Oryzias latipes: one gene and its partners. The protein of the gene in region 1 interacts with the protein of each later gene in a biochemical or structural test. Links are inferred from orthologs where the notes say so. Each region holds a gene or a part of one and is shown in the gene's direction. Other genes may lie near its edges. The genes, in order: stub1, hsf1, josd2, receptor tyrosine-protein kinase erbB-2, lrrk2, ataxin-3 and bag1.

Region 1 (4,123 bases):
ACACAGTGATGCAATGGTAATTCATAATATTGTACTAAACTACTTAATAACAGATTACATTAAAGATTTGACTCACATTTAAAAAAACGAGTAGCCCGATGATGCCATCTTCTGGCCAATACACTAGATTTCCTGTGCTGATCTTTTACAAGTGCAATGAGAAACCACCCAGTTGTCTTTTTCTGTATCTTGGTGTGTAAAATTGGTAGTTCAACTGCAAAAAATGCAAATATTTCTGATCATATTTTTTAAAATAACTCCTCTTTACACATTTCAGATTTGTATAAACGTCTCAAACAACCTCAGGTAAACCCATCTTTCCATTTCTTGCTCTCATATTTTTGCTTATTCAGATTTAAATGAGTGATTGTAAAGATGCATAAAAATAACAGGAAATATTTAGGTGTGGCTTCATTTCATTTTCAAACCATATTTGAGAAAAAAATACTTTTCTGAATGTTAAAAAATATATACGTTTTTTTTTTTCAATTACATTTTTATGCTTACAGCAGCATAAAAGCATAAAAAACGCAGTCTGCCCTGGACAGACTGGCGACCTGTCCAGGGCATCCCCTGCCTACGCCAAAGTAGCCGAGATAGGCTCCGGCAGCCCCGTGACCCCGAAAGGGACAAAGCGATACAGAAAAAAAATGAATTTTTATGCTTCTCTTAACATAAGCAAAGTCTCATGTTAAAATTTGGCATCAAGCTAATATAAAAAGTGAAAAATGAGTAAAGACATAAAAAGCACCAAATCAAATAGAACAGATTTATCATCTTCAATGCTTTTGGATTAGTGCAATAACAGAAGTTTAAGGAAGACAAAATAATAATAATAAATTATTTCCATTAATATCAATTATTTTACTAATAATTTCGAATCAGATATAAACAAACACTTTTATTTGATAGGGTGTTGTTATAGTATTTTGTCTAACGTAATGTAAGGTCAGTACCTATTTTCTATACAACTAACCATCACTCAGAGATAAGGTGTGGTTACTTGTATCAGTAGTCAGCTATGTTAGTTCTAACCACTAGCACTGATACCAGGGTCTTCTCACATATAGAAGGCCCCTGTTTCACGTTGTTTGCATGCTCTTCTCACAGCTCCAATGACCCTCTATGATTAATTTAGGATTAAAGATAAAGGGCTGGCATTCTATAAAGCCAAATTATGAGAGCAGTCCCAATACAGATGAGGGTTTGTTCCCACAGTACTTTTACAGAAATGAGCACAGAAACTTTACATTGTTATGATACTTGAAGATAACCTCTGCGCAAACTCCCATCAGGATTCGTGTGCTCTCGGCTTCCGTTGTTAGAGCGTAAAGCGTTTGACGTCAGCACCACAACATTCCGTCTTGACAGTTCGTACGGGTGGTAAAAATAATCCGTAACGATTTTATATCAAACTAAATTAAATCTGTTTGAGCTGAATGTAAAATTTCTGATTAAAGGTAAGGGTGGGTACTATGTAAAACTTTATTTAAGCCTCCAACAAACTGAAACGGACGTGAAGCAACTGTAATGCAAAAAGGCTAAGCTAGCACTAGCTAGTTTATGTTTTTTGAAGAAACCGAGCTGCGTTGTGGTAAATATTGAAATCCTTGAACAAGTAGTTATGGTTTTACTATCCTCTGCTTCAATTCACCAGAATCTACCCTAAATTAAATGTCAATAAAATTGATTAGAGACACAAAAGCTGTACTATGTCCCCAAACAAAATAATTTCAAGATAAAAGCTTAGCTAATTTTAGCATAGCATCGATTCTCCTCCTCTGTTTGTTTGTAAGTTAGCAATCTTATTTTTGTGTTTCTTGTCGTGTAACAATAATATACAATTTTTCGTTAACTTAAATATATTATCTTGTATCTGGTGTTTTTACTCGAAACCTGAGTGGATGTGTAAATTAATGGTTCTGGATTTTTTTTAAATAGCTGTGCTCGCTGATGGCCATCGATTTCCGAATGTGAATAGTTAATTCGCCGGCAGTCTAGCTGTGATTTTCAGCGGCGTGCACTGTCAGCAAACCCGAATGAATGCATTCTGAGCGGCACCAAGCAGCAGCGTTGCGCCGAGAGATCGTTGAAGAAGCAGCGCATTGCAGGTGCATCGCTAACTCAGCACGCGCCTGTGTTTTAGTGTGTGAGATCCAAGCCGGACGGGACGTTCTGAAAACCTGTTGTCTAGCCAGCCGAAGAGACGGGGAACAGGATAGGGAAACAGGGCGAAGCGGGCCCCGCGGAGCCGGTGGAGAAGATGGCCGGCAGCCCGGAGAAGAGTTCCACCGCGCAGGAGTTCAAGGAGCAGGGGAACCGGCTTTTCCTCTGCCGCAAGTACCAGGATGCTGCCTCTTGCTATAGTAAAGCTATTGTAAGCGTCTGGGATTTCTCATCCAAACACTAATGGCGAAGACTAAACAGTTTGCGCGTAAATACTCTTTATTTTCCCCATTGTGTCTTCCAGAACCGCAATCCATCAGTGGCAGTATACTACACCAACAGGGCCCTCTGCCACGTGAAGCTGCAGCAGTATGACAAGGCTCTGACAGATTGTAAGCATGCACTGGAGCTGGATAGTCAGTCTGTTAAAGCCCACTTCTTCCTGGGCCAGTGTCACCTGGAGCTGGAGAACTACGATGAGGCAATCGGCAATTTGCAAAAAGGTCAGAAACTAGTTTGATTTTTCTCTCCTAGCCGTTCGTGTCGGGTTTTCTTAATCATAACACCAGAACAAAGGATCACAACCTTTAGGTGTTGAAGATGGATCAGTTCACTTGTGCTTTTATTGTGGGATTCTAACAAAAAAGAATTTTCTGTGGGGATGAGAAAATCAAACTTGCACATGTTCTTAAAGGCACCAGCAGTTACAAATCAATGCATTTACCTTAAAACCAGAGCATTTCATCAACTTTAGGTACATTAAGAAGAAAATGACAAAATAAAAAGTATCAAAAACTGTAACGGATTATTTTTGCAAAGGTTTCCTGAACCTTCAAATGTATCAGACAAATGTAAGTCCATATGCAATCATGGTAGTTAATCTGTCCAAGCATATTAACAGAAAATAGAGTGGAAAGAAAAAAGACTTTCAACAGAGAAAATCCATGCAAAATTCTGATTTATTTCACCATCATCAGAGTTAGACGTTTTTTTTTGTTTTTTGTTTTTTACCTGGGCTCATTAGAAAAGAACCAGACAGATGCTTAGTGGTCCAAAAGTAAAGGTTGTATTTCATTTGGAGACGCACAGACCCGATGTTGCCTGAAGGGTCTTGTGAAGCTTCCACAGTCAGGGATGATGTAGGTCCATGTTTTTTTGAAGTCTACACAAAGTTCTGTAGCACTTCATGCTGCCTTTTGGTGTTGAGCTCATTGGAGCTGCAGATTCAATTTTCCTGCAGGACATGGGGCCCGCCCACTCTGCCAAAAGAACCAAAAGCTGGTTCAATTAATAGTATTACTGTGGCTGATAGCACATTCCCCTGACCTGAACCCTATTATGAATCTATTGTCTCTTGTTTGGAGGAAGATGAGACACCAGACTCAATAATGCAGATAATGTGAAGGCAGCACATAGAAACCTCCATTACTTCTACATAGAGCCACACGCTTCATATCCTCAGTGCATTGATGCAGTGATTCACATAGAGGAGCCCTAACCAAGCTAAGTGATAGAAATGAAGGCATTTGAACATTTAGGTTGTAAACATCTTTTTCTATTATTTTGATGATAAAAGCTAATATTCTGACACATTCTATTATTTAGATTAATTATCTTCAACGTTACAATAAATCAATGCTCGACATATTTCAATCAATTATATGCCGTTTACCATTTAATTTGTGTGTATAAATGTATGTTTGTGTGTGTGTGTGTGTGTGCGTGCGTGCTTGGGTTTTGATCATATTGTGATTTATTTGTCTTGCTGCAGTTTTGGGTTTGGATTCAGCACAGATAACTTTTGTAGTGATTAAGAGCAGAATTACATGTTTATTGTCTCACTACGCTGTTACACACGCCTGCAAACATACAATTCTTACATTGGTCTTGTTTGTCTCTGTGCCGTGTCAAGTGTTAAAAAATGGGCAGATGATCTCTGTCTAAAGTGAATCCTATT
Region 2 (3,500 bases), on another chromosome or scaffold:
CCTACATATGTTCCCTCGGACTGACCTAAGACTTTGTTTGTCGTAGCCGCTTCAGTTGTTGTAACAAGCCCCGCCTCCGCCGACCCTGTCCAGCCCTCCCCAGCCAGCCAGCCGTCTGCCCCCGTTACACCCCACAGCGCCGGTTCCGGCCCGGCCACGCCTCAGCAGAAGTGTCAGACAATCGCCTGCATCAACAGGTAAGTGTCACATCAGGCTCAAAGTGAGCCTGTGGCTTCACGCGTCTACAGCTGATCTTTGGGTGATTCTTGGACAGTAACCTCACAGCAGCAGCAGCTCTGACAGTTCCCTTAGAATCAATATTTCTGGTAGATGTTTCCTAACTTCCAAAAAAAACTGCTTCTTGCCCCAGTGACTTCAGTGTTTTTTCCGGCATTACAAAATCCCACATTTTTAGTCTGCAAATTCTGTATTACCGTATTTTCACGACTACAAGGCGCACTTAAAAGTCATACATTTTCTTCCGCCAGCAGGGGGCGCCCTATGAGGCATCGCGCCTGATGTGTAGTTGTGGGTCGTAGAAGAAGATGGAGTGAGGAAGGGAGAGAGATGTAAAGGCCAAGTGGAACATAACTGCAGTATTACTATTTGCAATTTAAGACTGTACCTGCTTCTTCTACATGATAACCTTCAATCTATCCAGTAAGGGAGGGGCATGAAGTGAAGCAGGTTGCTCAAAGAAGTTGACAAATTTTCAGCATAACAACATGATGGTCACTTCTCTTCACAGCCACCTAACTCAAGGTGTGGGAATAAACACTTCCCATGAGTCTTAGTGGCCATGGGCGGGGCTAAGGCCCGGGTCCCCCCACTTGTTAACAAGATGGCTGAGCACCTGTTTGAACTGCAGCTATCAGCTACGCAGAGGAAAAAAAAACTAACTCAGATTTGCTCCCACTGTTTTTTTTGTAAACACACATTAAGTGTGTGTGTGTGTGTGTGTGTGTGTGGCTTAAAGCTGCTGTTTTCGCCAGCGCATAGGAGGAGAAATGGAGACTGGCGGAGCGTGTGTGTGTGTGTGGGTATGTGTGTGCGCTGTGTGTCTTTAGCGCTTGTGTAGGATAAGGAGGAAGGGGGACAAGAGCGCGCAAGTGAGTGACCATTCAGTTTGTGTTATTCAGTTAGGGAGAACAGTAACAAAAAAAAAGGTTTCCTCTAAAGAACAGAGACTGGATGTTTTATGAACCCACTCTAGAAGCGCTGAGGGTCTGAACGGGGCGTTAACGTGCCCGGGCCTTAACACGCCTTTTGTATGTGTCAAAGACGGAAAAATCCCCCGTGACTGAGACTGCGACCTACCATCTGGTGCGCCCTATGGTCGTGAAAATACGGTATTTACAAATTGCTGTGTGAGGTAATCGTTGTTAGGATTACATTTTGTCACATCACATAAATGTCCCTTTGAAGCTTGTCGGTGTAATAAAAAAATGTTTGTGCTTCCCTCAGATTCCTCCCTCCCCCTGCAGGTGGACTCCCACCTGAGCTTTGGCGCATCGTACCGACACAACCTGACAAGTGAATCTTTAAAGGAATATCACAGACTGTGTTTAAAGGAGGAGAGTGGCACCTGGGACTGCAAAACGCAGTTTGGGTTTTTAGTCGTTGGTGCCTGTTATTGTGAAGAATATTAGCAGCAATTCATACTTTAGGTACCTTTTAAAAAGATCGTAAAATAAATAGCAGAGCCACAAACTAAATTATAGTCAATTGTCACTAAAGTTGGACACCTTTTTAGAGATCAAAGCTGATACAATTGCTTGTAAAAAATGGTTTTTAGGGCAGGATTTAAAGATCGGGAAAATAAATAATTCAAGGCTTCTAAAACAGATGGAACTATAAACCAAAGCTATTAAACACAAGGAGAAAAGAGGAGTAGATGAAGATGATTGGTTGTGTATTAATGAAAATGAATGGAACAAACTATGTTGTTTTATTTAGCAGTCGGAAAGCAGGTTGTTCATCAAACCCTTCAGGCTCTAAACCTAAAAGAAAAAAACTGGTTTAGTTTTGTCAAAGACAATTCCTCAGTGAGAAATAATCGCTTAATTTCTGTAAATCCATTAAAAAAAATTAAAGACCCAGTGAACATAGTGTTTTTGGTGTTTTTAACATATTCTTGTGGAATTTTTTCCAATGATGGAGGACAGATATTAAGCAAATTGAGGTTAAAACTGAATTTCTGAGTATTTCTATTGTCGAATTGTTGTGAATCAGAAGCAGATGAAAAAATGCAGGTTGTAAAATATCTTTTTTATCTAATGAATTATTGCCTCTTAGCAGAAATTATGACCTAGGAACAGATTTATTTATTATTTTTAAATTTTGGGGTAAAATCTACAAAATGAAGATTGAAAGACTACAGGAAACCCTTTGAAAATAGATCAAAAGATGATCAGAGTGGATCTTTAAAAGTTGTGCGGTTACAGAAAAGGGTTGGGTGTCATCTGCATAGAGTTGAACTTTCTTGTGATATCAGTATTTCTTAGAATGGAGGCTAAAATCATTGGAGAACTCAGGAGGTCAGTCAGGTTAAACTTTGTTGGGAACACGGACAGATTTGCTCCTGAAACCAGGATATTGCTGTTTTCACACGGGGAACAAGGTCGTCCAGAAGGAAGCTGAGAAACTGAGTCAGTGGTGTGGGTGTGGTTTGGAGTCTGTCGGGTGTTGAATTCTGGGTAAGGGCTGCCTTGTGATCAACTTAACTATTCCATCACCTATGCACAGACTTTTCACATATTCTCACAAGGATTCATTTCTTGCTGCTCCAAGTAACCGATAATTTCCAAACTACAGTAAGTCGTAATTTGACGCTGAATCGGGTCGCAGCAGCTGCACGTTTTCTTTTGGATACAGTCTCTGATGATTAAAGTCAACTAGAATGGGGTTCTGTTAATATGACTGGTGGAATTTACTTTTTTCTTTTTATCATCATGTGAGAGATCAGACCAGACTTTGTGCTTTTAGGTAGACCATCCAATGCCAGAATGTTTTAAAGATGATAAAGAAAAATCCCACGTTGAGGACTGATGTTCGAGTGTCTGCTGTTCTTTTTTGTTTTTTTGTGTTATTGTGATGCTTGTAATTTAGCTTTTTCTTTGTTTGACCAGGAGAGGTAAAAAAATTAAGAGACAAACGCGAATTTGGGCAGCTTTAGGAGACACATTGCTGGTTTGAATCAATGTTGACGAAAAGAAAAATGTAGAATAACACCAGACCGACTCTGAAAGCTAACGCTGATCCCCCTCCTGTCTGTCTCTCAGATCTGAACTTTCTGATCACGTCGACAATATTGACAACACTTTGGACAACCTTCAGACCATTTTAAACGCTCAGACCTTCACCTTCGACACCTCTCCACTCATGGAGGTCAGTATGGCCATCCCATATACTTTTGTTCATGCTAATATGATTATTCTCTTTGTTTTCTTTTTCTTCTCTTCTTCTTCTTTAAACTGCACAATAAATCGTGAACATATCAT
Region 3 (4,184 bases), on another chromosome or scaffold:
ACAGCTTTCCTGGTTTTGGAGCAGGATTTTGGACTAACAAAAAAAATTGTAGGCCAATAATAATATTAAATGACTGTCCATCATACAAATACCAATAATTTAGTGGTGTGTCCTAAATATCTATGAACATAAAAACAAACCCCGCAACTATCAGACAATAGAACGCTATTTTAGCATTGCTGTGATCTAATGCTTGTTTTTGCACAATTTGATTTTGAAACATTGTACTCAAAACTGGCTTATGTTCTGTGAGAAATCTTTAAAAAATGTTATGCAGGTCTTTGTACATCTCAAAGTTTCCTGTGCATTTATGAAGGAAGAAACAGCGCCAAATGCAAAATAGCACACAAACAGATAACCCAATAGTGTCCTCAGGACCTCTTGTGCAAAAATCAAACATATAACTGGGAATGGTAACCAATTTGGACACAACATTGATAGAGACAATGTAGATAAAACAGGGTTTTTTTTTAATCTCAAAAGGAAGGTAGGAGAGGATAAGAAGGTCTTTTTATTACCATTCTACAAAGCTCAACAGAAATCACTGTAAATGAGACAACAGACATAACTTTAAAAAAAATCAGAACATGATACACTAACATTCAACAATTTTGACAAAGAACAACTTCAGTTCTAAATTCAACACATAACATACATTAAAAGATTTGTAAAAGGTTCAGAATAGCAACATCTGACACAATATCAGACTAAAAAATAACTGATGGAGTGCTCATGGCATCTTCAAATTATCTAATTTGTTATTAAATATTGTTCTATGAATATCTCTCCTTTCATTGGTCCTGTATGGCTGAAATGTGTTCACTCAAAACAGAAAGGTTCAACAATGGAGTTTCATCTTACATTTTGCTGCCTTTGTAATGGCTATCAACTTGTATCTCTTGGATTGAACACAGTATTTCCTGCTCAGAGCAGTTTTGCTTTCACTGAATATGATGTTATCCAGTCAATCACAGATATAGTAGACATGTTGCATTCTAGGAAAATGTAACATTATCATCAACATTCATGAATATCATCACAAGTAATTTCTCCATCAAAAAAATTCTTAAGTTGAAAGACAATAATCCATATGAAATATTTCGTGTTTTATTTTTTAATATAAATGTGTATTGTTTTTCTTTTAGAGAAAAAATATCTGAAAGTCTGTCTTCACCTCCTCTCTGCCACAACTGAAATTAATAAAGCTGCCACTAGATGACGTTGCAAGCTTACATTATTGCTATTTTGACCTGCTTAAAAACATTAAAAACAATCGCGCGGACTACCAGAAATATTTTTTTGCGTTTATTTAGTGCTATATGTACTTGGTAAATAAAAGAAAATTCGTGTTTCGGTGTTGCTCTGTGGGACTCTTTAAGCATGGGGGCGTGTTTTTTGTAGAACAACAACACGACAAAGACTCTGCTTCCGGTTTCTGGATGTAGCTGACGGACTCCAGCGTCAATAAAACGTGGATTTGCTTTATCAGCAGGTAACGAGCTCCGTTTCATTGTAATGGCGTGACAATAGTTCGCGCTGCTGCTACTTTCTAAACCACTTTTTGAGCGGCCAGCTGGTGAACTTCCACCAGGGTGTCATAGTTAGCTTCTTTTCAGGTAAGAAGATAAGAACTACTGTACTAGCTGGTGCTAACCTCTCATATTATATCTGATGCTAGCTAGCATGAGTGACGTGTGTATTCTGGTTTTGTTGACGTCCACGTTTTTGTGTTTGAAACGGAAAGCGATAGAATGAGCGAAGCCGAGGTGTTTCATGAGAAGCAACGGTTGGAGCTGTGCGCCATTCACGCGCTCAACAACGTGCTTCAGGAGCGAGTGTTTACCAAGGAGACGGCTGACGACATCTGTAAACGGTAACAACGTGCTGACATGATCTTGTACCCATTCTCTCAATTTAAAAAAAAGCATATATTGAAACACATTGGATGTATTGTAATGTGTGGTACTTGTAGTTTCCTTGTTTATGTTCGTGTTTAAGGCTTAAAACAAAACAAAACAAACAAAAACAGTCTCGATTTCCCCAGGTCATCATAGTTGAATATTTACACTTACTGGCCAATTTTATGTGGTACAACTTGCTAGTCCCGTGTTGGACCCCCTTTTGCCTTCACAACTGCCTGAAACCTTTGTGGCTTAGATTCAACAAGACTGTGGTGTTGGAACCATGCTCAGCTGGTACTAAGGGTTCCAAGGTGTGCAAAGAAAAGATCCCCCACACCATTACACCTCCACCACCAGCCTGAACTGTTGATACAAGGCAGAATGGATCCACGCTTTCGTGTTGTTGACGGCAAATTCTGACACTACAATCTGAATGTTGCTGCAGAAATGGAGACTAATCATACCAGGCAAGGTGCACGATTTTAGAATCAGTTTCCTGTTCTTAGCTGACAGGAGTGGTACCCGTTGAGGTCTTCTGCTGCTGTACCCCATCTGCCTCATGATTGGACGTGTTGTGCGTTCAGAGATGCTCTTCTGCAGAACTTGGTAACCAGTGGTTATTTGAGTTACTGTTACTTTCCTATCAGCTGGAACCAGTCTGGCCATTCTCTTCTGACATCAACAAGGCATTTCCACCCACAAAACTGCTGCTCACTGGATATTTTCCCTACAAACCCTAGAGATGGTTGTAGGTACAGTGATGAAAGTCTTCCGGGAATTCCCGGAAATCCGGGTTTTTGAGCAAACCGAACGTACTTTCCGGGAAATAAAGACCTGATCTCTACGGACAAATCGCTTTCCGGATTAAAAAATGGTCTGAAATCAGCTAATTTTAGCTTTATTTTCTATATTTCTCAGCAGATCGCTTCCTCTATGGTCGTGGCCATCTCTCGTCTTCCCGGCCTAATTGACCAATGACGGGACGTTTTAGTTGCTTTCGGATGCGTCGACGGGTCCGATTGGCTCTGTCTGCACCACGTGGTCAGCGTGACTCGCTTCCCTAGAGACCAAAACTGGCGGACCCACGCTAAATTTTCACAAACACATCTGAAGAGTTTGCGATCAAATTTGTGTTAAAATAATGGCAGGCATCGTCATTATTGAGCGTGGTCACGACCTCAGTTGTGAGAAGACGATAAAAAACAAATTGAAGTGGTCTTGGCTGGAAAAAAAAGATTTTTAAGGTAGTGTAGGTCAAATACTTTTTTGTGTAAAATAATCTCAAAACCACATTTTGAAATAATTTCAATTTTAGTTTTGAGTTTCAGTTTTTATTTTGAATACATTTCTCTATCTAATTTATTTGTATTTCCTAATTACCATGATTTAGTTCAGTATAGTTGACATTAATTATAAGTATTTGATGGTTTGGACCCGCACTCCCTTAAAAAATAATGTTTACAATGTTTAGTTTAGTTTGTATGTTTGTTTTGATATTTCCCAGATTACTTAGTATTGGTGTTAAAGAATTGATGTATTATGTTATAGAATTATAGTTTAAAGCAGATCCCATATTTTGATGTAATTATAGTTTGAGAAAACAGTGCAAGTGGATGTTGTACATCAGTCATTTCTAAAGCAGAAATAATGTATAAATAACTGAGGTATTTTCATAGAATATCATAGTTACTGGTGTTCTTTTTGCCATTTGGGGCTTTGATGTTACTATATTTTAGCAATTGTATGTTTTGCAGCTTTAAGGAAAAGCGTAGATTGTAGGATTGTGTTACTTTGAGCAATTTTCCAAATTCTTTTTTAGGACCAGCAAGTCCTTAATGGAGAGTCAAACTAGGGGTTTGAATGACAAATCATGATGCTCCAATTAGTCTTAGTTTCTTGATAAAGAAGTGAATAACTAGTTGCCAGAATGCATCTAAGACCACGTATTTTTCCAAAATTTCGCTCTGTGCCCGCCATATCGCTCAAAGAAAAGTTCAGGGATTTTTTCCTTGCCTGACTTTCATCACTGTAGGTAAAAATCCTAGCAGGTCACTTTGAAAGTCACTACAATCACCTTTCTTCCACATTCTGATCCTCGGCTTGAACTGCAGCAGATTGTGTTGACCATGAATGCCTAAACGCATTGACTTTCTGCCATGTGATTGGCTCAGTGCAAATTTGTTACCGGGCAGTTGGATGGGTGTACCTAACAAAGTGCCCAGTGAGCGTACATATCTTTTTTTTTTTTTCTGCAAAAACTTCCATCTGAATTTAAATGGATAA
Region 4 (3,944 bases), about 1.5 Mb from region 1:
AAATGCAATATTTCCTATTACCAGTGAAATATACATAAACAATTTGTCTTAAAAGGTTATTACATCACAATTTATTTTAAGAAATTTTACCAAAACAAGTTCTTCTAGTTCCAATGTCAAATTTGTTTTCCCTTATAACAAGAAAAGAACTTCTACTTTTCTGTATTTTCAACTTGTTTAGAGATACATTTTTTTCTTCCATTGCTTGCCCACTGAAGATTTCTTTAAATTTGTTCCAGAAGTCATTATGAAAGTTTAGCCACTCTAGTGAATCAGTAAATGGTGAGATACAGAGATGTATGAGTCTATGCACTTGGGGAAAGTTTGGAAATAGAGCAGGAAAATTGTATTGTGTGCGTGTCTGTGTGTAAATACATATATGTGGGGGGGTTTTTTGGACAAAGCACAAGAAATGTTAGCCCCCAATAGACTGAAAACAAAAAGGATAACAAGCCTGAGAACATCTCACAGGATCAAGCATCTCCTTGAGATGCTACTGCTAAATCCTCCATAAACAACAATAATTACAACATAATCCAACATCTTGAAGTTTGTTGACAAAGACAGTCTGATCTAATTTTTTGGTATTTCTTGTATCATGGAAAATTTGGAGAAAAAAAAGTCCTGAAATATTGACTATTTCCCATATGTTATGATTTAAATTCAAATAAATTTAAAAATCTGCATTTGATACCTTCTGGGATTCTGGGGTGCCAGGAAGATCTACCATTGAAAATGCAAGGTGCCAAGTTGGTGAAGGTAGTAGTATTATGGTGTGGAAGTTTTTATTTTATTTTGTTGTTCCAACAAAAATGATTTTTAAACACTTCAGCACATTTTTATTTTAGAGAACTTTAAGTTCTTTTGGCAGTGTTCTAACATGATGCTCAAAGCTACAGCCTCATAAAGATGAGCGTTTAGAACACTTTTCAGATACATTTCAGTTGGAAAAAAAACATGTTTGAGTAGGATACATAAATTTGACCAATAAATAAATAAACATATATATATTTGTATGACAGAAGGAATCCATGCATTACAGTCTTTAATGTCACATTGATAAGCGTGTAGTGAGTTTGAGGTCTGCAGACAGAAATCTGTGATTGTGGGCGGAGTCAGAGTGCCACTCCTCGCGCAGGCCTTCACGGGAGCGCGCTTGTCACACTGTTACTACCAACAGTCCGAGTTCGGAAGTCTCCGTGGATAGGAAGAAGGGCAGCAATTTCACTAAGGGAGTCGAGATTAAAGCTGCTATTATTTTAAGGTCTAATATTTTAAGAAGGAAAAGACCTATTGTGTTTTTTTTGTCGGCTACAACGAATATTAGACAGACCTAACTCTGGAATATGGACTAAACGCGCCGGGTGCGAGCAGATGGAAGCCGCGAGAAGTTTGGTGTTTATCGGAGCCGTTCTGCTCGGAGTGCCGGGCGTTTTGGGCGGAGAAGGTGGGTGACTTTTGTCGTCTTTTGCGCTCTCACGGTTTGGGAACGCGGACATACTAGACCCCGTTCGAGTTGTGTTCGTGTGGACGTGAAGTGTGAAGTCGACGCGGGTTCCTGCATTCCTCGTACGTGATTTCGTCCTCCCTGCGGAGATTCATGGGAGTTATGGAGCGCAGATAAGGACAAAATTCCCACCTGTCAAAAAGTAGCTTCGCTAAAAGCTTTCAGTTTGAATTTCAATTACAAACTTACACTAAATTGAATAAAGAGAGTTAAAGCCACATAGTTGGGCAATAAACTCGAGAACTGGTGTTGAGATGCAGCAGAGCAGTGTTGGTAAACAACAAACAAACAAACAAACAAAAGCTCTGTGTGCAGAAGATCATCATGACTATGTCAATTATTCACTTCTGGCTCCTAAGGGGACATTGTCTGATAGAGGGCCACTTATCACACTTGGAGCTTGGAGTGCATGCCAGTAAAGTAAGAGCTAACTAACTGAAAGTGCAAATAAGAGCAAATTTGCAAAATGCAAATCAAGATTTCTTTTGTTTAAAGCCAAACCTGAGGAGTTTTTGGATTTCTTCATGTTGCAGAAAGTAGCACCGCTCTAAACTATTTGTTTCATTGTTTTTCACATTTCATATACCAATTATATAAAGTCGAAGAAAAGGAGTCAGATTTGAAAAACTCCAATATCATTTTTTATTTCTGCAAGAAAACCACAGTTTTCATGATTATTATTATGAACTAGTTTAATATCTGTTCTAGGAGGATTTAGCAATATCAATAAACATGTAAAACCTTTGCACAGACTGAGACTATGTGCAGACTTTATTAAATTGCCAGTTTTTGGGGTTAAAAACAACAAAAAGAGCCATGAATTTTTTTTTTTGGACTTTGATTACCAATTTCCAGCTCAATTAAGTTGAAAGACGAAATCCTTAGAGCACAAACAATACTCCTGTTTTATTAGCTGCCCCCGAAGCACTACCACTAATCGGACACACGCAGGAACAAAGCCAGTAGTCACAGGTGAAGTCATTTCTGAACGCGACAGCATTGTTGGGGGGAACAGGTTGGTGCACTTTAGTCTGCAGTGTTGATCTCTGAAGCATCGGACCTGTGCCGGAGTGCTCTGACTGGTTCCCAGAGTTAAGCAACATGTTATGCCCAAGTGTTGACTTCCAGCCTTCTTACTTTCATTTGTTATGTCACTCACACGTGTGCACAGCCCCTCTATGCAGGATCCTTGGTGTGAGGCGATTGCCTCAGTGGACGCACAGTTCACGCCCTTGTCATATTTTAGCGCACCTCAAGGCAAAGTCTATTTGAATTGACGCTAGTTGCAGGTTAACTCTGCCCGTCTAGACTGTTAGTGACCTGACCCACTCTGACTGAGATCAGGATGGTCGTTCTCTAAAAAGGCTCCGCTCACCCTCATGTTTTTCAGAGGAACGTCCGTTTTTTGGCAATAAAAAACTTTTAATTCAACCAATCAAGCATCTTATTGTTTTAATATTATTTTGCATCTTAACCTGGGCATTTAACACTAAGACACTATCATTTTTTTCATGTAAACCTTTTAAAGGCTGTGTTTGAAGATCAATTTGTTTCAATTAAAAAGACAATTCAAAAATATGAAATTCCTCGATTTAATTCTTTTTATAAGAATGTATCACAAATTATCTGGAAAAATGTATCAAATTTATTCGTTTCTATTGTGAGATTTCACAATATTATGATCAAAGGTTTTACTTTTGGTCACTTCATCACTAAACAACTTATTTTAAAACAAAAATTTGACCAGTAAAATGACATTTAATCAATTGTAATGAATCCTATCAAAATTTAGAATTTCTTATCAAAGACTTTACCAATAATCACACTAAAGTTCTCACTTCAGCTCAGGTTATATCTAAAATGCTTTTTTACTTGGAGGGAGATTTGTCTATATTATATGTTGTCATTATTTGTATAAAATGCTCAAATTGCCCTTACCCTACATAAAATGTTTGCATGTCAGTGTTATTTTATTGCATGTATGCAAAATGTGCGTGTGTGTGTTTTTTTTTTAAAGATTTTGTGCATGAATGGTTTCCCATAAGCTCAACTCTCATGTTCAGACCCGGCATTGGAGCAGCTAAATTTAAAAAGAGGACTGTGATGCGTTCACTAATAATAGTCAGTGGTGTGGATGCTTCATAAATATCTTGAAGGCTTGAAGCTCTTGGGTCTCTCCTTGTTGTCTTCATATAGATCCAAAGGTTAAAAAATATCATATTTATATGACTTTGATGCACATTTTTATGCCTTCAGTTTCCCAAAATATTGTCGGTCTGTAGGAATTTATTTGTTCTTTTGACCTGGAACTGAATTTCTATGATACACAGTACTCAGAAATCTGTCAAATTGTTTTAGCTCAATGTTGGTAAACTACATTGACTGTAGGTCTGCATGATATGAGGAAAACTTGCAATATTAGTATTCAATATTGTGA
Region 5 (3,500 bases), on another chromosome or scaffold:
GTATTTTCAATATTGCTTAATGTAGCTTCTCCAGTATTTCTAAACTGAATGATGCCTGAATGGTACTTCAAAAATAAAGGGGGGGGGGGGGGGGACACTAATTCTTTCCAGAAACAATGAAGTGATGATGATGAGGCAGCATGACAGGATGAAGGAGACGCTTTAATGTGGCTAAGAGGCTTTGTTTACATCACAGTCTGCTCTGCACCGCTGCAGCCACGCGTTCTTACACGCTGAAGTGAACTAGTAATGGTCATCGCCACGATGTTGTCCTTTTTTCACACATCACTCTGATCCATGAGGTCACTGAACCAGAATCCATTGCTGTGAGGTTCTGCAGAACTTTGGCCCGCTTTGCCGATAGCATTTTGGCCGATGCTCCGTGCATTAGAACCCGTTGTGCAGCTGCAGAGCTTCACTCGTTCTTATCTGAGCCGCTACATAGCACCACAATCCATGTTTTCATATGTTACTGGCAGAAACATGGCACAGAGTTTCGGTTCGGTACCCATTCTAAGTAAAAACTAAGTAGTGCATGTCTCATAAAAACAAAACAAGCTGCTCCTCGCTGAGATCGTGTAGTCTTGTGTGGTGTAGAGCTGCTCAAAGAGGCTCAGTGGGCTCTGCTACCAACTAGCGACAGAGGTTTAAGTGAAAAACAAGAGTCAGACGCTGAAGGATGCTCATAAATAATTAAATAAATATCGTCCTTATAGCATCAGGTGTCGCCAAATGAACTATTGCAATATATCACAGAAATTATTTTTTTCTAACACCTTTCCTGCACAAGCAGCCCTTTAGTGCTGTTAACAAGGTAAGTGTGCTTGTTGTGTGCAGCCTCACTGTTAGAAAAGAGGAAATTGGACATTAAGAATGTGTGTGCCCACATGCTATGGGCATGTAGGTATCACCTGTGCAGGATTTATGGTCGGCATGGAGAGAGTGCTTGCACTTCCCCAATGACTAGACTGTGGCATTGAGACGCTGTACGACAGCATCACCTACATGTCATAAGTGTGTGTAACTTACATTATTCTTACAAATACTTTTCAAAACACACTCCATACCCATACCAGGAGCATCTTCAGTGCCCTTACGATGCAGCTGCTCCACTCTACGACCCTCCACAAACCTGGACATTTCAAAAACCCGTTACAGTTCAACACCCGGACAGGTGCATTAAAAATAATGCTACATTCACACTTCACACCGGGCATGTGAGAACGCACTAAACGCACGTTCAGCATATGGCGTTCACACTGGAATGTCGCCATCTGATACTAGCACATGTAGTCACAGTTGGAAGAGGCTTTGTGTGAAATGTCAAAGCAGTGCCAATCTGGTGAATCTTGCTCCAGGCTTTTTCTTTCACAGCTCTATTCCGATGAATGAAAGACTCGCTGTCGTAGAATTCCAGCCGAACACAAACCACAATTATTAATTTCTCCTCCATGATCAATTTTGAAATGGTTGGTACTTCCGTGAATTAAAGGGGATGTCATCCAAACGACACTGCCAAATCCAAGATTGGTCAAAGTTTAGCCTGTTAACTTTCAATGCACGTTCAGTGTTTCAGATGTAGAGCCAGAAAATTGACTTAAAACCTTTGCAAGTTTTGAACTCAGAGACCTGAAACCGCCTCTATGCACGTTTACATAAGCTTTTCATTAAAGTGGTTGCCTGAATGCACGTTGCTGTGGGAGATATGACTGTAGCTTCAGTCTCAAGCTCCGCCTCCACTGAGCTAAAGGTTCATCTGAGTGCTGCACAACCTGAGCTGTGCCTCTCTAACCCAAACGTCCTCTCTGCTGGTGCATCATGTCTTGGTTAATGATAGATGTTTGGCCTCATGACATCTTGAACAGAATGCAGTGGAGTCAGATTTGCACCCCGTTTCTGGAATTGTTTTTCAGGTCCCTGCAGCAGCGACTAAAGAAGGCGGTGCCGTATCACAGAATGAAGCTCATAGTGGTGGGGAATCCCAGCAGCGGGAAGACCACGCTGATCCATCAACTGATGAAGCAGAAGCGCCAGTTGAACTCAAATCAGAATGCTGCAGGCATTAACGTCTTAGACTGGACCATCAAGGACCGGGATAAGAAGAAAATGGTGCTGAATGTTTGGGACTTCACAGGTTAGAAAACCTGCTCAAGTTGAGGGTAACTTTGCTTTGGAAGGCCAGTCAGGAGTCCCTTTCCATCCTTAACAGGGGGGGAAGAGTTCAGTGGCTCCCATCTTCACTTCCTCACTTCCAGGGCTGTCTACTTGGTGGTGTACAACCTCAGTAAAGGATCCAGTCAGGTGGATGCTCTCAAACCCTGGCTCTTCACTATTAAGGTACGGACAAAGTCAAGGTGCATGAATTTGGCTTGTTTTCCTTCAGGTCAGACACTCGCTGCTCTCGTCTGTTTACTTCAGGCGGTAGCACCGCTGTCTCCGGTCATCCTCGTGGGCACTCATGCAGACGTGAGCGATGAGCTGCACTTCCAGGACTGTCTGAAGAAAACCAGGGCAGAGCTGCTGAACCACCAGGGCTTTCCAGCAATCAGGGATCATCACATGGGCTACTTCTGTGAGGACTCCGACTCCATTGCCAATCTCCGCAAGGCTATCACAAGGGAGGTCACCAGCTTTAAGGTGGAGCAACGCAAACACAGGATGGAAGAGTTCAAATCACGTCTACCTCAACCCTGCTAATGTTTTCTGCTCTTTTTCACAGATCCAAGGCCAGCTTGTCATGGGCCAGCTGGTACCAGACAGCTATGTGGAGCTGGAGCGTAGAGTTCTTCTGGAGAGGACCAGAATCTCGCCAGAGTTCCCCGTCCTCAGGCGCTACCAGCTCCTCCAGCTCATCCAGGAGTGTCAGCTGCAGCTGGAGGAGGCGGAGCTTCCTCACGCCGTTCATTTCCTCAGTGAAGTCGGTCAGTAGGAGTGGAGCCTCGAAGATGCTCCTGCTTTGTCTGGAAATGATCCCTTCCTTTGCAAATACCCTTTTGGCACATTTACCAAAAGTCTACTTTTACGACCAGAAGTTAGCAATTGACTCGAATACAAATAAAGGTCAAGGGTGTGAGACACTCAAATTCGTATTATTAACCTCTTGTGTAAACCACTTCCATCATTACGTCACGTGTGTCTCATACTACCATCACACGGGGCTCGGAAACGCACGTTTGAGCGACTGATTCCAATGTGAAAGCATGCTTCAAACCCTCACTATTCAACAGTGCAACAGCTTTTCCTTTACCTTGCTCTTGTTCTGCTTGTTTATTCTATTTATTAAGAGTACCACAGTACCATTAACATTTTCAATACAACACATGTCCTCACATCTTAATGACTGGAAAGGAGCAGTGAGAAGAATGAAATTTCAGTTTTATTTCTGCCCCCGTATATTAAAGCTTACAGACCCATTCTGATGAAAATCTTTAGAAGTTCGTCTCTGAGTTGTGGGAGGGACCGTCAGCGTGGAGCAACCCCTTCCCCTGCTTCCCCTAACC
Region 6 (3,990 bases), on another chromosome or scaffold:
AACACTTTTTACAAAGACATGTGACCATAAAGTGTGGTAGAATGTTCTAATAATGTTCTGTTTAGATTATTTTGTTGTGGGCTGAACTTTAGGAAACTAAAATGTCAATGGATTTGCCATTAATCCCTGTTCACTTGTTTGCTTGTACACATATTTAATTCACACTTTATTATTTATTTAATTTACACATTCTTGCAGGAGAATCCTTCACCTGCTCTACAGTACCCAGGTATTTATCACCGAGTCACACACTGGTTGATTTTTTGGCTAAAATGTCCTGAATCGATTTTCAGTCTATAAATCGTATCGTTCAAAATGAACCAATATCACCTATGAATCATATCAGCAACTAAAAAATATAATGATATGAATCAAATCATGGTTAAAATTTAACGTTACACCCCTACTTTCTAGTCTTTAGTGCCTTGAACTACAGACAACATATGATCATGTGTATATAGAAAAGCTAGAACATTGTTACTGAATTCTCCAAATCTGCTTTCCTTTTAGGATATAATAAACTTTATAATAAAAGTCCAATGATAAGTTAGTGTGAAGGAAGATTAGCTCAACAAATCGGGATGTAAATAGTTGGCAGGATCATTGTGAAAATTTAAACGATAAAATTATGGTTCGTAATAAATGTTCAGTTTCACATTCATTTTTCGAAAGATACAACTTTTTTTCACTAAATTCTTCAAAAAAACAGGACTGATGCTCAGTGTTTAAAACTCGTAAAACGGGGTTTTGGACAAAACTAAGTACTAAAATATCAGATTGACCTACACATCTGCAAACAGATCGCGTTTCTGACGAAGATTCAAATCGCTGATGCTAAACAATACCGAAAAATAAACCTGTTTTGTAGCATCTCTAAGCTAGTAAAGCGGTTAGCCGTTTCCAGCTTCTGCCTGCTAGCTTTAGGACCGTCACTGCGCGTTGAGCCCGTTTTCTGTGTAGCATTTTATAACCCCACGCGTACGTGTCAAATATCCGAATCTCGGTAATAACTGTCAGTTTTTAATTTGCAACGCCATACCTTACTGAGCTCCAGTCCGTCAAGGTGTTTCTTACTCTCTGCCATATTTCATTTGCCGAAAAAGGAGGGGGGTTTCCTGTGTGACCAATATCCTTTCGGTTGTTGGAACGGAGCGAGGTTGTACTCCAAAATGATCCATAGAGGGCGCTAATAGAGATTGGTTCCCATCTTTACAGGAGTAGGGGTCAAAGTTGAATGTTTGACAGAAATCTAAACATGGATTCCATATTTCATGAAAAAGTAGGTTTAAACAATTTACTTGTGACATTAAACTGAACGCCTTTACTCGTGTGTAGTCGGAGAGAGTAAAGACACTTAGCATTTATTTAGAGTTTGTGTTTAGCCGGTGCTAGCTTCAATCTAATGTTATTTTGGCTTTATTCAGACTGCTAATGCTAACTCACTTGCTAACCAGGTGTTGTTAAGTTTCTTTAAAAGCTAATAGAATGAAGTTAGAAAACGAGTTTGCGGTATTTATTGTACACTTCGACTCCACCAATAATTATTAAAGAAAAAGGATACTAAAGTTGTATGTTGCTCGTTGTTTAGATGTTTGAAACATTATTTATTTTTTATTTATTTTTTTGTAGTTGCTTTAGCTTTTTGTATAATCTATCTCCAAGGTTTTGTAAGTTTTTGCACTCCATTTTGAAAAAGTGGAGACCTTTTTTTTTCTCAATACGTTTACGCAGTTATTCTTTGTTTTCAGCAAGAGGGTTCCTTATGTGCCCAGCACTGCCTCAACAACCTTTTGCAGGGGGAGTATTTTACCCCTGTAGACCTGTCCTCAATTGCTCATCAGCTTGACGAAGAGGAGAGAATGAGAATGGCAGAAGGAGGTATGGGTAGTGAAGAGTACAGGACCTTCTTACAGGTAAGTGGGGACAGGTAACAGATGTTTTCTGCAGTGGTACATGTATTTAAACAACTGTTTTAATAATAACTTTATAGCAGCCATCTGGAAACATGGACGACAGCGGATTCTTTTCAATACAAGTATGTTTATGTGCTTTGTCATATGATCATTAGCAATCAACTTTACAAGATTGTCTTATCACTCCTTATGACTGATTTTTATAGGTAATTAGCAATGCTCTCCGAGTGTGGGGATTGGAGTTAATTCTCTTCAATAGCCGGGAGTACCAGAGCTTGATGATAAATCCAATGTAAAGTTGTATTTTCAAGACTTCCTTGTATAGCAAGTCGATCCCACACCCACATTTAAATCCTGACTTGATGTCTTTGCCTTTAAGAAACGAGAAGGCCTTCATTTGCAATTATAAGGAGCATTGGTTCACCATACGCAAGCTTGGACAACAGGTATGTCGATTTTTATTTTTTTACTTTTCAATACGTGTGTTGATGCTTAATTTACTTATTTAATTATTATTACAGTGGTTTAACTTGAATTCACTCTTGACTGGACCAGAGCTGATATCAGACACATATTTAGCTCTTTTCCTGGCACAGCTACAACAAGAAGGTATTGTAAAGCCGACTTGTTTACACTATTGCACCTTTTGGTACACAAATACAAAAATAATGTATTTCTGCAGGATATTCCATATTTGTGATCCAAGGGAATCTTCCCGAATGTGAAGCAGAGCAGATTCTCGGAATAATGCGGGTTCAACAACAGCAACGGCCCAGGCTAATTGGAGAGGATGAGGCTCAGACAAGTTCAGGGTAGGTTTGTGGAAAATGGTCCTCGCTTGGATTACATTAGGTCTTGTTTGGACATAATACATGTCTGTTTTTAGAAGCAGATCCGTTGCTCGGGGGCAAATGGACGTTGTATCAGATGAGGCTGTGGATGACGATGAAGAACTAAAGAGAGCTCTGGCACTCAGCAGACAGGAAATGGATGTGGAAGATGAAGAAGCTGACCTTCGCAGGGCCATTCAGCTCAGCATGCAAGGTGTGCCATTTCAAAGCTCCAGGCTGATTTGAAAATATTTTATTATATTGGAATTTTTTAACCCTTTTTTTGACGTTTTTCCTTTAACTAGGATCAGGCATGAGTAACAAATCTTCAGAGTCTGATGTGGGAAATGTGAAATCCGAAAAACGGACTGTACAGAGTTCTACATGTGGAGATAAACCAGGCCAGAATGAGACACTTACTGCTGAGGAGCTGAGGAAGAGGAGACAAGCTTATTTTGATCGGTAGGATTTGATCTGTAAAACTTGAATTTAACAAAAAAAAAAACTTTCAGTAATATGTGTACACATGTTCAAAGGTCTTTTTTTAGTGAGCAGAAAGGAGAAATGTGCCTTATGAACCAGACTTTCGTATTATCTTTCAGGCAAGCACAACCAAGCATTCCACGACAGTTAGAAAGTCATGCAACCAGTGACTCTGGTGAGTAAACTCTATTTAAAATTCAAAACACCCTATATGTATAACACCCATTATATACAGTTTTTTGCATATCAGAATGAAAATGTAGATATTATTTTCATGTCAGAACAATAACCCAAGTATCCATTTTTTGCCCCTAACACCAGAAAAATCCAACTCTATGGAGGACCAACAAGAAAAAGACACCAAATAAAGTTGTGAAAGCTTTGCTGCTTTTGTCTACCAACGCTCTGAACTTGAAACCCTGTACAGGGGTTGGCTTCTCTCCATTCTCTAACCTTTTGCAAACGCAAACATACTGCAGCCAGAAGGCCGACACATGGTTTCCTTCGCTGGGTTTGCTGATGGGCAAGGGAAAGGCAGCACTTGGTCAAATCAGACCTCAGTGTGGTACAGAGATGGGGGAAAAGGGTGATCGCTGGACTTAAAAATGACTCATAATGTAGTTATTCCAAGTTTTCAATGGCCTTTTTTTATTTTACCATAGAGCCTTCTATTTCTTTACATTCTGGTTTTTGTTGTCTTAATTTTTTTTGAAAACATAAAGAGAAAATGAATGAAAAATGGGTTAACTTTTATGAAGTTGGAT
Region 7 (4,058 bases), on another chromosome or scaffold:
ATAATAAATATTTACTATTTTTACAAAGAGTAAGTAGTAATTTCCTGCAGTAGATCTCCATCCACTATAGTAAACAGTGAGTTACTATTTGCAAATAGAGTTAAAAACTGAGCGCACGCCGTTTCTTTAAACCAAAAGAACATGGACTGGACATTGTTTCCCACAATGCATTTCATTTTTGTAGTTAAATTGGACGTGTAAGGGCATATACATATATAGAAAACAAAATACCTTGTCTCTAGAGTCTAGAGGGACTCGAACTTACAATCTTTGAATCTCTTGTCAACGATTTATTTAGACATCCACTCTGCAAAAGCTGCTTGTTGATAGAGTTCAAGCTCGCTAATTCTTGGAATTGATTTCCAATCAAATCACACATTTTTGCTGATGGGGTTACCTGTTGCAGGTGCTAAAGGTATTTTTCATTTGGTGGTTTATACTAGATGTCCTCCGTTGTAGGTAAACCAGCTGTGTTTTTCCGCTAATGGAAACGTGTAGTAAAATAACAAGTAAATCCCCTTTAATCTAACAATTAAAAAGTTATTTATGTGTGTTCATCTTTTAAATCAACAGTCAGATTTTTTAATATTGTCAATACATCTGTATTTTTCACATAAATAATTTATTTTATGTTATTCTGCTGTAGTACATTAAATAGACCATTATGATGTTTTAATGTGCAAAATCTCCAAAGTTTAATTTAGTGTATATTTCCGTTAGTAACAAATGTCATATACTATTAGGCATGCATATTTCACACATGGCAGAAGAGATCATGAAAGCCACGAGGCCGACATAAAACCTCCAAAATCGCACACGTTCCAAGCGGGGCTCGAACTTGCAACTTCAGGGTGTGTGTTATGAAAGTTGGAAACTTTATATCGACTTACGGGCGCTGTCCTTTTCCCACAATGCATCACGTGTTTGTAGTTAACGCAGTATTTGAGGCGCATAAACTGTAAAAGTAAAAAAGTGCGACTCTGGTGGGACTCGAACCCACAACCTTTGAATCTCTTTTGATCGATTTAGCTAGAAGTCCAATGCGCTATCCATTGCGCCACAGAGCCGGTTGGTCGAGTCAAGGTCTGCATAGAAAGCAAAATTTTCAACATTCGTGACTGACTGTCGGCGTTGGAAAGTTTAAGGATCAAACATTCAAACAGAAAAACACGCTTCGACATTATTTTTTAAATCTGTCTCTATATATTTATACGTATGTATATGGATAAAAAGGACCTTTTGAAATGCAGCGGAAAATCAGTCCGTCATTTCCGGTGCTGACCGGAAGTAGTTAGCTGTTAGCGGAGATAGCCGGGTGACTTGTGTTGAGGTTGAAGAACAAACACAAAGACATGTCTGATCAAACGATAAACCTGATAGTCAACTACGGTAAGAAAACGTTTTGAATTTTAAACAAACGGAGACTGAAGCGGCTCCGAGTCTTAGATGTGACTGTAGCTCAGAAATCCTTTGCTTGTTGTTGTGTAGCCCAAACGCAAAAACCGGTTCTAGGAAAAACTTCTGCTGATCATGATGTGAAATGAACTATTTACTGTTAGGCATTGAATGTCTCAGCAAACTGCTTTACCTGTCTGCTCAAAATTCGAATTATGTTCATTTTTAATTGTGGATTCATAACAAATATAACGTGTCATCAAATGCTAAAAATAGCAGAAAAAAGGTTCAAATCAAAAGACTAATGAGGATCAGACTCTACAAATGGGTTTGATTATAATAAACTTTCAAGAAGTCTCACTTCATTACAGATTTTAAATGAAATAAATTGTAATTGATTAATTTTTGTTGGCTTCACAACTGAGGTTTGGCGATATGAATTCACACAAACCTGTTTTATTTATGTTCACAACGTTATGACAACTGCATGAATGTCTGTTGATCAGGTTCAGTAAAACACAACATCAAACTAACGAGTCCAGATGACGGCAACGGGCCGGCAGTGAAGGATTTATCAGAAGCTGTCTGTCAGGCCACCGGCGTTCCCCCCGCCTCTCAAAAACTCATCTTCAAAGGTTTGGGTTTGACCTACATTCTTTTTTTTTTTTTTTTTTGAATGCATCCCATAATTAGGCCTTGACTCCATGTCGCGGCATTGTGATAGTTTCTGAAAACGAAGATCTAAAGTGATCAACCAGCTGAGCGTTGTTGCAGTGTCGTGGTGATGCAGACAAAAACGGTTGTCGTGGTTACCAGTTTCTTTAATTTGCTAAAAACTATACATAAGGAAGACCAAATCTTTATTTCTGTATTTTCTTTGACTTGGTGCGTCTGCAATTTTTTGCTAACATATTCTTCTTTCTTCAGGGAAGTCTCTGAAAGAGATGGACGAGAGGCTTTCCACCTACGGGATCAAAGACGGCTGCAAACTCATGATGATCGGGAAACGGGTAAGACGCTCGGGCGCCGCCCCTGATTGAGTTGGCGTGCGCACATCCCACTGACAACGCTGTACAAACAGAACAGTCCGGAGGAAGAAGCTGAGCTGAAGAAGCTGAAAGACATTGAGAAGTCGGTGGAAGTGACCGCCAAGAAGCTGGAGAAGGTGGACGGGGAGTTGACGGGACTGAAGAACGTGAGCCACAGATCCTGGAGGGAGAAAAGCATCGTCAGATGGGTCGTTTCTTTGAGGTTTCACCTCTTTTCTTTGCTCTGCAGGGCTTCTTGGCCAAAGACCTCCAAGCTGAGGCTTTGAGCAAACTTGACCAGAGAGTTAAAGTTGCTGCTGAGCAGTTCATGAAGATTCTGGAGCAGATAGACGCCATAGTAATCTCTTTTTGGATTGAGCTTTTTATCCCTCGAGTGTTGGTCATTTCTAACACACTCCTCTCTCTCTCTCTCTTTCCTCTAAAGTCTGTCCCGGAGAATTTTAACGACTTCAGAGTGAAGAAAAGGGGCCTCATAAAAACCGTGCAGGTTAGCCAGTAGGTTTCTTTTTTTCTGCTTTTACTGACGACGCTAAAAAAAATTGACTCCTATTTTTCTGTTTTTCGTGGCCTCAGGACTTCCTGGCCCAGTGCGACAGGCTGGAGGCGGGTATATCAGACCACCTATCAAAGACCCAGTCCAAGAACTTGGCTCTGGCAGACTGAAGCTGCTTCCCTTACTGTGTGCTATCTGTTGCTCTGTGAGCAAAGTGTACCAACGGCTTCAGATGTGGAGCAGATTTTATTTATTTCTCGGTGTGATGTGCTTCATAACGAAAGGAGACTTTGCTGAGATCATGAGGGTCAGCCGTAGGTGAAGATGCGTCTCAGACTCAGACATGGACTGGAGCGTCGGTGGTGCTTTGATGTTTACCGTAGATCAAATCCTCCGTCTGTCCTGTGGCGTTTTCCTCCCATCGGCCTTCAGCTGTTCCTCTCGGTCGCCGCCAGCCTGATCCACAGAAGTAAGTGAACCCTCTTTAGATGTTTCCACCACGTCAACTTGAAGAGGTTTGTGAATTTACAGAGTTGTATTTTTGTTATAAAAAAAGGAGAAAGTCAAATTAGGCAAATCACATCATCATCAACTGACTTCTACTGTACATGTTCATCAAAATCACGACGACTGCAGAAAAATGAATAAATTTTAAGCCAAAAAGACAGATCTCCAATGTTTGGACGTTTATTTCTGAAGTCCCGCTCCCATCATCTTCTGATCGATTTTCCCAGCATTCCTTAATGATGATGCCATTTTTAGCCAAAATCAGAGTAAGCCAGCCCCCACTTCCCATCGCCCATCCTTTTATACAGTGAGCTTAATGGAAAGACCCACTCTGGGGAAACTGGTGTGTTTCTTTAACCTCTTCTTGGGGCATTTTTCTGATGATGGAGGACAAATATTTAAAAGAAATTCAGCTTAAATTGCAAATCTGAGGATTTCTTTATTCAACTTGTTGTGAATCAGGAGCAGGCGAAAAAAAATGACGCTTGAAATCAACCCAAGAGACCCTGTGATCGCAAGGTCATCCGCTCTGGAACACGGCGCCAAGTCATCCACCGTTCGCTCCAGGAGTTCCATCCTTAGATCTTTTTGATCGATGATGGCCTTTGGCTCCT

The links.
Region 2: the proteins of stub1 (region 1) and hsf1 form a complex in vitro, tested with the Homo sapiens proteins (2 studies listed by BioGRID, with this or other methods). The link is inferred for Oryzias latipes from reciprocal best matches to the Homo sapiens genes STUB1 and HSF1.
Region 3: the proteins of stub1 (region 1) and josd2 form a complex in vitro, tested with the Homo sapiens proteins (2 studies listed by BioGRID, with this or other methods). The link is inferred for Oryzias latipes from reciprocal best matches to the Homo sapiens genes STUB1 and JOSD2.
Region 4: the proteins of stub1 (region 1) and receptor tyrosine-protein kinase erbB-2 form a complex in vitro, tested with the Homo sapiens proteins (4 studies listed by BioGRID, with this or other methods). The link is inferred for Oryzias latipes from reciprocal best matches to the Homo sapiens genes STUB1 and ERBB2.
Region 5: the proteins of stub1 (region 1) and lrrk2 form a complex in vitro, tested with the Homo sapiens proteins (3 studies listed by BioGRID and IntAct, with this or other methods). The link is inferred for Oryzias latipes from reciprocal best matches to the Homo sapiens genes STUB1 and LRRK2.
Region 6: of the proteins of stub1 (region 1) and ataxin-3, one has a biochemical effect on the other in vitro, tested with the Homo sapiens proteins (6 studies listed by BioGRID, with this or other methods). The link is inferred for Oryzias latipes from reciprocal best matches to the Homo sapiens genes STUB1 and ATXN3.
Region 7: of the proteins of stub1 (region 1) and bag1, one has a biochemical effect on the other in vitro, tested with the Homo sapiens proteins (3 studies listed by BioGRID, with this or other methods). The link is inferred for Oryzias latipes from reciprocal best matches to the Homo sapiens genes STUB1 and BAG1.

What each region holds. Positions count from the first base shown.
Region 1 is NC_019877.2:8,954,562-8,958,684, reverse strand, and holds the start of stub1 (E3 ubiquitin-protein ligase CHIP), read left to right. Parts: upstream 1-1,323; 5' UTR 1,324-1,594; intron 1,595-2,146; 5' UTR 2,147-2,263; coding exon 2,264-2,377; intron 2,378-2,470; coding exon 2,471-2,669; intron 2,670-4,123. UniProt on the Homo sapiens protein: E3 ubiquitin-protein ligase which targets misfolded chaperone substrates towards proteasomal degradation.
Region 2 is NC_019869.2:4,836,101-4,839,600, forward strand, and holds part of hsf1 (heat shock factor protein 1), read left to right. Parts: intron 1-46; coding exon 47-197; intron 198-1,464; coding exon 1,465-1,533; intron 1,534-3,281; coding exon 3,282-3,387; intron 3,388-3,500. UniProt on the Homo sapiens protein: Functions as a stress-inducible and DNA-binding transcription factor that plays a central role in the transcriptional activation of the heat shock response (HSR), leading to the expression of a large class of molecular chaperones, heat shock proteins (HSPs), that protect cells from cellular insult damage.
Region 3 is NC_019874.2:19,500,230-19,504,413, reverse strand, and holds the start of josd2 (josephin-2), read left to right. Parts: upstream 1-1,384; 5' UTR 1,385-1,492; exon of another isoform or gene 1,493-1,616; intron 1,617-1,744; 5' UTR 1,745-1,751; coding exon 1,752-1,873; intron 1,874-4,184. UniProt on the Homo sapiens protein: Cleaves 'Lys-63'-linked poly-ubiquitin chains, and with lesser efficiency 'Lys-48'-linked poly-ubiquitin chains (in vitro). May act as a deubiquitinating enzyme.
Region 4 is NC_019877.2:7,422,762-7,426,705, reverse strand, and holds the start of receptor tyrosine-protein kinase erbB-2, read left to right. Parts: upstream 1-1,144; 5' UTR 1,145-1,374; coding exon 1,375-1,447; intron 1,448-3,944. UniProt on the Homo sapiens protein: Protein tyrosine kinase that is part of several cell surface receptor complexes, but that apparently needs a coreceptor for ligand binding. Essential component of a neuregulin-receptor complex, although neuregulins do not interact with it alone.
Region 5 is NC_019864.2:2,156,222-2,159,721, reverse strand, and holds part of lrrk2 (leucine-rich repeat serine/threonine-protein kinase 2), read left to right. Parts: intron 1-1,913; coding exon 1,914-2,134; intron 2,135-2,209; coding exon 2,210-2,337; intron 2,338-2,418; coding exon 2,419-2,637; intron 2,638-2,719; coding exon 2,720-2,921; intron 2,922-3,500. UniProt on the Homo sapiens protein: Serine/threonine-protein kinase which phosphorylates a broad range of proteins involved in multiple processes such as neuronal plasticity, innate immunity, autophagy, and vesicle trafficking.
Region 6 is NC_019880.2:12,489,184-12,493,173, reverse strand, and holds the start of ataxin-3, read left to right. Parts: upstream 1-1,190; 5' UTR 1,191-1,234; coding exon 1,235-1,279; intron 1,280-1,748; coding exon 1,749-1,913; intron 1,914-1,990; coding exon 1,991-2,035; intron 2,036-2,119; coding exon 2,120-2,205; intron 2,206-2,292; coding exon 2,293-2,359; intron 2,360-2,434; coding exon 2,435-2,522; intron 2,523-2,595; coding exon 2,596-2,725; intron 2,726-2,799; coding exon 2,800-2,957; intron 2,958-3,048; coding exon 3,049-3,205; intron 3,206-3,345; coding exon 3,346-3,401; intron 3,402-3,547; coding exon 3,548-3,594; 3' UTR 3,595-3,990. Other genes in the region: E3 ubiquitin-protein ligase UBR1, read right to left, coding at 1,040-1,084. UniProt on the Homo sapiens protein: Deubiquitinating enzyme involved in protein homeostasis maintenance, transcription, cytoskeleton regulation, myogenesis and degradation of misfolded chaperone substrates.
Region 7 is NC_019875.2:29,408,253-29,412,310, forward strand, and holds bag1 (BAG family molecular chaperone regulator 1), read left to right. Parts: upstream 1-1,258; 5' UTR 1,259-1,352; coding exon 1,353-1,389; intron 1,390-1,901; coding exon 1,902-2,030; intron 2,031-2,322; coding exon 2,323-2,405; intron 2,406-2,476; coding exon 2,477-2,590; intron 2,591-2,673; coding exon 2,674-2,781; intron 2,782-2,868; coding exon 2,869-2,931; intron 2,932-3,017; coding exon 3,018-3,107; 3' UTR 3,108-3,606; downstream 3,607-4,058. UniProt on the Homo sapiens protein: Co-chaperone for HSP70 and HSC70 chaperone proteins. Acts as a nucleotide-exchange factor (NEF) promoting the release of ADP from the HSP70 and HSC70 proteins thereby triggering client/substrate protein release.